3 separate regions of the Mus musculus genome follow, and all the other regions are reported to be linked to region 2. Evidence: microRNA targets listed by miRTarBase, many of them from high-throughput screens and not tested one by one. Region 2 holds a microRNA gene; each other region holds the end of a gene's coding sequence.
The links. The annotated mature microRNA mmu-miR-93-5p reads CAAAGUGCUGUUCGUGCAGGUAG and lies in region 2 at 1,937-1,959, opposite strand. An mRNA with a match to its seed (bases 2 to 7 or 8) in the 3' UTR can be bound and repressed. Matches are read on the target gene's strand: a 7mer-m8 pairs with bases 2 to 8, a 7mer-A1 pairs with bases 2 to 7 and ends in A, and an 8mer does both.

Region 1: miRTarBase lists Sqstm1 as a target of mmu-miR-93-5p. Seed matches in the 3' UTR shown: 8mer at 1,974-1,981.
Region 3: the mRNA of Neurl1b is a reported target of mmu-miR-93-5p. Seed matches in the 3' UTR shown: 7mer-A1 at 824-830.

Annotation. Positions count from the first base shown.
Region 1 is chr11:50,198,183-50,201,430 of GRCm38, forward strand. Sqstm1 (sequestosome 1) reads right to left here. Exons shown (of 8, transcript NM_011018.3): 8 at 1,970-2,765. The coding sequence ends at 2,608. Mrnip (MRN complex interacting protein) reads left to right here. Exons shown (of 7, transcript NM_026543.3): 7 at 1,354-1,933. The coding sequence ends at 1,836. Among named protein-coding and RNA genes, the nearest start is that of Sqstm1, 11 kb to the right of the region's middle.
Region 2 is chr5:138,163,638-138,166,885 of GRCm38, forward strand. Mir93 (microRNA 93) reads right to left here and starts at 1,973; the gene lies at 1,886-1,973. It overlaps Cops6 (COP9 signalosome subunit 6), which reads left to right. Exons shown (of 10, transcript NM_012002.3): 10 at 99-347. The coding sequence ends at 239. Mcm7 (minichromosome maintenance complex component 7) reads right to left here. Exons shown (of 15, transcript NM_008568.3): 12 at 3,046-3,129; 13 at 2,273-2,441; 14 at 1,415-1,524; 15 at 946-1,283. The coding sequence ends at 1,082. It overlaps Mir25 (microRNA 25), which reads right to left and starts at 1,767; the gene lies at 1,684-1,767. It also overlaps Mir106b.
Region 3 is chr17:26,441,021-26,444,268 of GRCm38, reverse strand. It overlaps Neurl1b (neuralized E3 ubiquitin protein ligase 1B), which reads right to left. Exons shown (of 5, transcript NM_001081656.3): 4 at 3,066-3,191; 5 at 1-2,718. The coding sequence ends at 2,474. Among named protein-coding and RNA genes, the nearest start is that of Neurl1b, 28 kb to the right of the region's middle.

The DNA of each region.
Region 1 (3,248 bases), not on the chromosome of region 2:
GTACATAGCAGACACTTGTTTCCTCCCACCCCACAAAAAGACCAATTCGTGAGCCAGGTGGAATACACCCATAATCCCAGCCCTCAAGAGACTGAGGCAGGAAGAGCTCAATTCAAGGCCACTCAGACATACAGCAAGACATGGTCATGAGTGTCATCTCATGCTGTTATTTCACAGCCAAGAGGATAGCTTGAGACCTTGGAGTCAACCAAGGCTGGCGAGTAGGATTTGAGGCAAGACTGATCCTGCAGAGTGGAGGAACTTTGTTAGCCTGGTCACAATCAGAGTTGCCTGGGCTCTGTCTGTGGGAACACACTGCTTACTTTATAGTATGCTGATGCTCAGACCTAGTGGGCCCACTGTATATTCAGCACAGCTATGGAAGCCCTAGGAATGAGAGTTCTCCCTCTAAGAGGTAAAAGGCCACCAGCTCAGCCTCAGACTGCATGCTGAGCAGGGCACAATGCCCAGAGACAGTTAAATTTTGATGTTTCATGAACTACCTAGTGATCCGGTAGATATAGTCCCATTGGTTTTTTTTTTTTTTTTTTTTTTTTTTTTTGGTTTTTCGAGACAGGGTTTCTCTGTGTAGCCCTGGCTGTCCTGGAACTCACTTTGTAGACCAGGCTGGCCTCGAACTCAGAAATCCACCTGCCTCTGCCTCCCAAGTGCTGGGATTAAAGGCATGCGCCACCACGCCCGGCTTAGTCCCATTGTTGAATCATGGTTGTAAGTTACAGAGACTTTGCCATGGACCACATCCTAGACCAAACACTATAACTGAGTCAGTATCACCAGGCTGCTGTTTTAGAGGAACTAAGACTTTGGAAGCGTCTGAGTTCACAGCAAGTTCAGTAGCCAGCATCACAGTCTTTTCAGCATTCCCTGGGCACTCATGGTGCAAAGACCCAGTGTTACTGTCACACTGTCCTTTGCAAGCAGTGAAACCGTGTCCTCTGCAACTCTGGTTTCTGAGCTGGGAAAGCCAGGCCTAGCACCATGTCACACCTGAGACCTCAGTGGAGCCACCTGGGCTCCTGCACCACAGTCCAGCTTTGAGATGTCCTGGCTTAGCTGGGAGTGTGCAGGCATGACAGACTGCAGCTTTTTAGGTGGTCAGTGTCTAGGCCCCTTCCTGCTCACATCTCCCAGAGCTTCCCAAGAGATGGCTCACTCAATGGTAGGATGTCTTCTTTATATGAGAAATGTGGTCATGGGATTTATCAGGTCAGGGTAACGGGGTGGGGGGTTGTAAGATTGATTTGTTAAAGGGATTGGTGGTGGTTATGCAGAAAGCAGGGTTTGCTGAGCATCCTGCCAAGCTGAATGAGCGCTTTCTCTGCTTACTTTCAGGACTCCACTGGCCTGTTTGGAACAGAGCAGCAAGGCACCAGCCCTGCCCTCAGTACTGCGAACCACACCAGAGAGCTCGGTTTTCCTAGGTGGAAACTACCAAGTCCTGTTACACAAGTTAATGCCCCATCTTCTAAATGGGCACGGTTTCTCCTGGCACCTGGAAATAGTCCTCAAGTGGATGAGAAACCAAGTCCTCTGCAGGAGGCCACCATGCTAGCTGACCTGGCACAAGGGACTGTTGAGAACAAGACTCCAGTGGAAGGCCACTTCAGCAGAGCCCCTGCCATTAGGCCTCCTCAAGCCATTCACACTACCACCCCACAACTGGACAGACCTGACAGGAAGACCCGAGAGCAGCCAAGGGACATGGGGACTCCTCGAGCAGATGGTAGGCCTTTGGCTCAAGGGACCCAGAAGGCTCCACCCTTGCAACTGCACAACCTCTTTACAACCGGAGAGGACTTTGATGATGACCTGTAGCCTTCACTGTTCTGTGTCCCTCAATGCCAGTCCTCCTTGTCACAGACTGGGGTGCTCTGGAACAAATAACCCAACAATAAACGTGCCTGTCAACAGAGTCCTCTTGCTGCTACACTCGTACGGATCACAGGGCTGGTTAAAGTGCATATGCCATTTTATTACAGGTTACTTACAAACCAAGTCAGAGGAAGCTACATGGGGGTCCTGTGCTTTAAGCATTAACATTAGACACAAACACTAAAGAGTGGCCATTAGAAAGGGGGACAGTATAAGATAAGATCCTTCATTCGGCTTCACATGAATTCTCCATTCCCTAGGAGCTGTAGGCCCCTGCCTGCCACCTTTCACTCACTATGGACAGTCCCCTCTTAACATAATGGCTTTATTTGTTGAAAATAACTAGCAGTTGTACTAATCACTTTTAATAAAGGAAACACGGGTTGTCAGGCAGGAATTCTGGACTGCTGGTGCAATGCTGGCGGCAAGAGCAGGTGGGAGTGCAGTGTGTGCTGCAGTTCCCTGCAGAGGCCAGGCCTAGGGAAAGCAGAGGAAGCTCAGCTCAGCCACGGGTACCTGGGTCTGTTCTCAGGCGTCAGCATATGCACATTCAAAACTCTCCTCATGCACTTTCCTATTGCCTGAAAAGGCATCACACATTCCCACCTGAAGATTCTACAAGAATGCCAAGACACTGGGCCTATCTATAGAAGCCCTGCTGCTCTACGTGATGCAACTACAAGACAAAGGGGGTGGGGCTTGGCCACAGCACTATCACAATGGTGGAGGGTGCTTCGAATACTGGATCGTGTCCAGAGCAGCCCCGATGTCGTAATTCTTGGTCTGTAGGAGCCTGGTGAGCCAGCCGCCTTCATCCGAGAAACCCATGGACAGCATCTGGGAGAGGGACTCAATCAGCCGGGGATCAGCCTCTGCCAAAACAAGACAGGAAAGTAAGGTATCCTGCTGCATTCCCAGCAGAGCAGCTCCTGCCTGCCAGGAAGACCCCACCCCTCTGCTTAGCCTTATAGGGACCCTCAAAGGCTAAAGGATCAGACAGCTTGCTTGGCAGACTCTCCAGTCCTGGTCACAACTGTTCAGTTCTGCCACTGAAGTACAAAACAGCCAGAAGGTATGTAGACAAATAAGTGCAGCTGTTTTCCTATAAAGTTTTATTGACAGATGTGATAGCTCAAGCCTGTAATCCCAACACTCAAGAGCTGGAAGCAGGAACATCGTGGGCAACAGTGAGACGCCATCTCAAAACCAACCAACCAAAATCCTTTATAGATTAAAAAAAAAAAATCTCTAACTGCCGTGTGTACTCGTGTTCCCACGTGGGTGAACATGTATGTGTAAAGGTGTGGAAGCCCAGAGCTGAAGTAAGGCTTTTCCTCTATGGCTCTCCACTTGAT
Region 2 (3,248 bases):
TGGGGCTCACACCACCTCACAGGTAGGAGGTGAAACTCAAGTGTCACTGGCTAATACGAGGGACCCCTGGGGAACTGGTTCTTTGTGTTCCCTCCCAGCAATGCAATGACGTGGGGCTCATGGCCTACCTCGGCACCATCACCAAAACGTGCAACACAATGAACCAGTTTGTGAACAAGTTCAACGTCCTCTACGACCGACAAGGCATTGGCCGGCGAATGCGGGGACTGTTTTTCTGATGATGGTTCTGGAAGGGATGGTGTGTGGGGCTCAGACAGCTGTTCCATGGACCTGAGTACCACATTCCCTTTAGAGAAACTCATTAATAAAAGAGCAGCCCCTTAGCAGCCCTTCCAGTGGCTTTGTCCTCTCAGGCACCACACTGGTTTCTCAACATGGACTCTTAAGGAAGCTTCACCCATTAATCCACATTTTTTGACCACCTACCCACCTTTTAATGACTCGAGGTGACCCCTTGTTGAAGTAGACAAAATGTGATAGGACGACCTGCTTGCTTCCAGTTTTTGTGCTCTGTGATCAATTCATGTCACAGCTCCACAGAAAGATTGCTTTCCCAGGCTAATTTAATTTCACTGCAAATGTTTCTCAAATAGGAAGGGGAGGGAAGCTGAATTCCATCTTTGTAATTGTGGTTATCTCAAGTCCTTGTTTTTCTATATCCTGAAGGTACCTAGGAGGGTGATATGTACCTCATCCTTAGGCCTTCCACTTAAGTCATACCTTGTGCTAGGCGCAACTTTCTGCCCTTCACATCCTGGTGTCATCACGTCTAGATGTGGGGGTCTAACAAACGAAATGTCCATAATTGGAAGCATCTCAAGAAACAGTGGTCCCAAGGCCTTCTATCTCCCAGATTGACTAGCACATAGTAAGGGTCAGTACTAGAGACTAGGGGAGGAGAGAGCATACTAAAAACTCTACAGAGTTATTAACAAGCAAGAGGCAATCAAAACACTTTATTGGCAGAATAAAAAAGTGCAGCATGGGAGAATGAGATTTTTTCTTGAGGGGGCATTCAGCATGCCCTCTGGTGTAGGCAGGAGGGTGTAAAAACTGGCTATCAGACAAAGGTGATCCGTGTCCGAGAAGTATTAACCTGCCAGACATTTAGCTCCTCATATTCATCCAGAGCTGCCTGGAACTGGGCTGGTGTGAAGCCACGAGATATGCAGCGCTGTTCAGCCTCAGAAAAGTGGACACTCCGCCCCCGTGACACCAATTCACGGATGGTGGCAAATATCACATCTGCTGGCCTCTGGGTCCTAAAAGACAAGGATGGAAAAGGTGAAGGTGCAAGGCCACAAACAGTAGCAGCAATCAGCATCAAAACCCTGAGGGCAAGCCAGGTCAATAAGCCCAGTGGTCCAGTCTCACTCTTCATTAAAATCCTCACCTAGCTGTCTGTCCCTTTTCACCTAGAAGGGAGTCCTTCGACATCTCCATCAACCTTATGGCTTCATTTACATCTTCCTTCTCCACAATGTCTACCATCCGAAGTCGAGCCTAAGGGGAAGGCATAGAAAAGATTGGGATAGGAGGGGAGGAGGGGAATGAAGTCAAGGATCTTTCTTTGCTCCAGCTTCAAGCCTGGGCAAGCCACATTTGCCTACTCATTGAACAAAAATGGGGACTCCTCCCTGCCCCCCCACATCTGCAGTGTTGGGCCGGCACTGTCAGACCGAGACAAGTGCAATGCCCAGGGCAGCGTCCAGCAATTGCCCAAGTCTCCGCCTCTCAACACTGGCCAGTCCCGGTGGGTGTTCAGCTGTCCTGTGAGGGAGACCAGACCCTTCTGAACTCCACTAGGCTCCCCATCAAACAAATGGAGCCTGGGGCGCTCAGCTAGGGCCACTATCAGAGGTTGTGTCCTGGGGGCTCGGGAAGTGCTAGCTCAGCAGTAGGTCAGGTAATTACACTACCTGCACGAACAGCACTTTGGAGCCCCCATGACTAAGGTCCAAGAGGGGAGGACAGAATGGAGATTTCTAAGATCATATCTAGGACACCAGGAATTCAAGTCCTAGCCCTCATGGATTCAAGCAGCAAGCAGCCTTTCCCTCCATGGGCGTTGCACGTGCCCTGCTGGAGCAGCAAGTACCCACAGTGCGGTAGCACAGAGAGGACCACTATCTGCACTGTCAGCACTTTAGTCCCAGCAGGGCTGGTAGGAGGGAAGGAGGCGGCTTGAGGGTCATTAGGTGAGGTGGCAGGCAGGGGTCAGCTTTCCAGCTGACAGGGACCCACCACTCACCAGAGCAGTGGAAAGTCGGAGAATGGCCAGCAGGGTCCGGGCAGAAGTATAGGTGGCATCCTTACTGGCCCGGGCCTCTCGCCTCATCTCCACATATGCTGCGGTGATGTAGTCAGCCAGAGATTCAGGCACTGTGGGCTGTCTCTCGTGGCACATGGCTATGTACCGTCTGTGGGAAACAAGGTTCATGGGAAAGCGGGAAAGCAGGCAGGCTTTATGAGATTCCCCACTTAATATTCTATGCTGACGTGGACAGTGAGGGATTTCTCCAAAACAGGGCTGCCAGGACACTTCAAGTAACTTCCAACTTTTCAGGAGAATGACATTTACCAAAGCACCTGTAGTGGGAGGATTTAACTTAACCCCTTGACAGACTTCAGAGACCATGTGAAAACCAGTTTAGAAACCCGAGTCATCTGTGCCATGGAAGCACTTATGGCCAAAAAGCTAGACCTGCCTCGGACAGGATTTAGAGAGTGAGAGAGGTTCCTTTATATACAGGAGGGAAGTAGTTTTTGGAGACATCCCCAAAATGACTCAGGTTTCAGAGTAGCTAGGATTATATAAGGCCTGCTGCTCTGTCATCCCAAAACAGAAAAAAAGTTTCTGATGATCCCTTGGCTACAGAGAGACCCAGGCTCAGCTACTTTTGAGGCTGAAATAGATAAGCAGATGAGTCCTTTCAAGACTCAATGCTTTCCAGACACACTTGGCATAAGACAATGCCACAGACCAGTACTCTCCCCAGACATACCCATCTCCACCCCTCCTACCTCATAAGTTTCATGTCCAAAGGTTCAAATTGGGCAGGGGGCTGCCGGCTGTGCTGGTGGACATAGGTGATGTGCTGGGCCAACCTGGAGAGAAGACGGGCGTCAGTCTTTAGAGCTCTAACACCCTGAGAATCTTGACTCAGTATCCCCTTTTAGCACCACCTCTTCTCCAAAGCATGGCAGACAGGCCTCCCAGAAAACCC
Region 3 (3,248 bases), not on the chromosome of region 2:
CACTGGCTTCTTTTCCCTCCTGCCCGTTGTTGAGATGAAACACACACATACACACTTTCTCTAGGGCCTGACTCCGTCTTTCAGAGCACAGGCAAATACCCGACTTTCAGAACAGAAACACCCCCTTTGCTCTGTGGGAAACAAGGCAGCTATTTATAGCAGCTGCAGAGCAGGTTAAACAGGCCTGTGGTTCCTTTTTGTCCTGGTAACAGGTCACCAGGATCATGCCTGGTCCACCCCTAAGTCTAGGACCTCAGCTGTTGATGTCCTGGTGGTGGCTGTGGGTGACCCCTGATACACCTCAAGGGTCTATCTGGGAGGGCAAGAAGCAAAGGAGAACTTGTTCCCCTTTCTCTGAAACTGTGGCAGTTAGAGACAATATTCAGACAGGACCACGGCTGCCTGGAAACCCGGCCATCATCACTGGCGATGAGGAGGCTCTGTCCATGCCCAGCACACATAGAAGCTAAAGGCTTGGCTGTGTAAATTGAGCTGTGTAGCCAAAGCGCCTGATTCTCAGACTCTCACCGAGGCGAACAAGGGTTACTCTAGCTCCTTAAAGGAGTCAGCTGCACCAGGGCAGTGGTGGTGCCACACCCTTAGTCCCAGCACTCAGGAGGCAGATTTCTGAGTTTGGGGCTAGCCTGGTCTACAGAGTGAGTTCCAGGAAAACCAAAACAACAACAAACCAAAACACACACAAAAAAAAAAAAGAAAAGAAAAGGAAAAAGAAAAAGAAAAAAGAAAGAAAGAAAGAAAAGAAAAAGAAAAAGAAAAAGAAAAAGAAAAAGAAAAAGAAAAAGAAAAAGGAAGAGAATCATCCTAAAGTGAAAAGGTGGGCGTGACATCCCTAAGGGAAAGCGAGCTCTCAGAGGTTCTTGCTGGGAGAGGAAGGCGGAGCTGTGAACAGGTCAGATCCTGACTCTTTCAGAGCAGCAGTGGAGGCCCAAGGCCTCCAGCCACCAGGGGCACTGAGAGGGGCTTGGGCTGCTCTCAAGTGTTCCATGGCTCCTTGTCAAAATCTGTTCCATGAACCTCACTTCCTAAATGTTTCTCTTGCCCTCTTTTTCCCTCCCTCACAGCAAGAGAGGGCCAGGTTAGGCACTGTGAGGAAACAGTTGCTCCTGGCAAGGTGTCTCAAGCTTTCTCTCAAAACAACAACAACAACAACAACAACAACAACAACAACAACAGAGCGGGTCTCACCAATGCCCTGGCACCAGGCTTCCAAGTAGGAGCAAAGAAGAGGGAGGGTCAAGGAACTTCACTAAAGGTACAGCTCAGGGTAGGTGGATGCACATCCGGTACAACCCGTGGCTCTTTAGAAGGGAGGGGTGGCACACACGGCCAGAGCATCCGCAATGGCAAAGTCTGGAAGCCTACAGACATAAGTGACCCAGTGAGAGGGTGACAGGGCCAGGGGCCTGGGAAATGGCAGCAAACAGGCCCAGGAGTGGGGAGCATTTTCAGTCAGTTCCTCACGAGTAGCTAACTGATGTACTTAACACCATAATAATCAACAGGAAAATGAGAGTCAGGACAAGGACGAGGTAGGGGTCTGGGTCTTCTAGCTTCTGCCAGCTGCTCACTGGGACATGCCCTAAGCTCTTAATTCTACCTTGGGAGACACGGAGTTGTCCTAGAGAACAGCAAGGACGTCATAAAACGCCACAGCAAGTAGGGACAAGGCTGAGGTGTTTACTGTTCTAGTGGCTGGGGATAAAGGACTCTAGTTGCTACAGCTGGGGCACCTGTCCTCAGCTGCCTTGGGAAGGCTACTCCTAGGCTGAGTGAGACGCGAAAGCCACCTGTTCTCCGATGTTCTCCGCCTACCTTCTCCCCTCAGCAGGAGCTGCTGTCTGGAGCTGTAAACAGTGAGTTATTTTTGCTCTCCCTTAGAAAATCTGAGCGCCATTGAGGGAGCTCTGTGTAGGTTCAGGCCTCCTGTGTTCAAAGCTAGCTCACTGCAGAAAAACCTAAATCCCCAGAAAGTGGACAACCACACTAACAGTTGGGCCCAGATTGCACATTCCGTAGTGTTAAATACCCTCCAGGAGATGGATCCCTACATAAAACATTCACACATTCTCTCTCACCCATTCTCCGTGCTGTCTCCCCACCCCCCCACCCAGACACACACACTCAACCCAACCCCAAAGAAGCATTGCACAGACAGAGGGTACCCTTTCCCAGCTGAAGGTCACCAAGAGGCAGGTGATCTGCCAGGCAGTTCCTGAGCTGAATCCTGGGACAGGCTTTTGGGGGTGATGTGTGTTTGAGCCAGAAGCAACAAGTGCTTGCCTGGGCTCTGGCCCCCAGGGCCTCATCTCCATACCTGTCCTGCCTTGCTCATCACTGCGGAGTGGCAGACGAGAGATGGCTCCTGACCCCAGGCTCCCTGATAGCCATGGTGTCGCCCACCTAGCAGGGGCTTCAGAAAGGTGACCTTGCCTTGGCCGAGCCAGTTGCACAGCTACGGCCTGTAGATCTTGATAACATCCTTGATGGGCCGCCGGCAGATGGGACAGCAGGCCCGTGCCTGCCTTCGGAGCCGCAGGCCGCAGCCATGACACAGGCACATGTGTCCACACGTGTAGATGACCGTGTCCACCTCGCTGTCGAAGCACACTGTGCACTCTCCATTCCTGCTGCCGGTCGGCTCGGGTGCGGAGAAGGCTGGGGACACCGGGGGACTCAGAGGGGAGCTGGGGGCTGTCACTGCCAGAAGGGAGATAGGATTTCATTAATGGCGTGGCTCTCAGAAGGACTCTGAATGTAGTATTCCCTTGGTGGCAATGGGCACAGTCCCATCTTTGTCTACATTTTGAATTTTACCCGTTTTTGATAGTGCTGTCTCACAAAGCACAAAGGTAAACTGCCTTCATCAGCAGCCTTTGGGCTTCTGATTCTCTGTATTTATTCACCCACTGAGCACAGCAGAGAGGAGCAGATGCAATGGCAAACACCGCTGGCCTCCTCGGCCAGCAAAGGCCAAGGCCACGGGCACAGCCAGAGCACCCATGTCATGAGGAAGTCCTGCCCCTCCGAGTTCTGTGTTTCCTTACCCAGAGACGATTCTGATGCTGAGGACGACTGGTTGACGCCGAAGGTCATGTCTGAATCGCTGTCATCCTGGGAGCCACTGAAGGACCCTGATGGCGTCATGGTCTCAGAACTGGACTGTAGGGTACCTGGGAGTCAAACAGGTGTGACTCTATTAGGGTGTGAGAGAGAGGCACAGGCTCTAG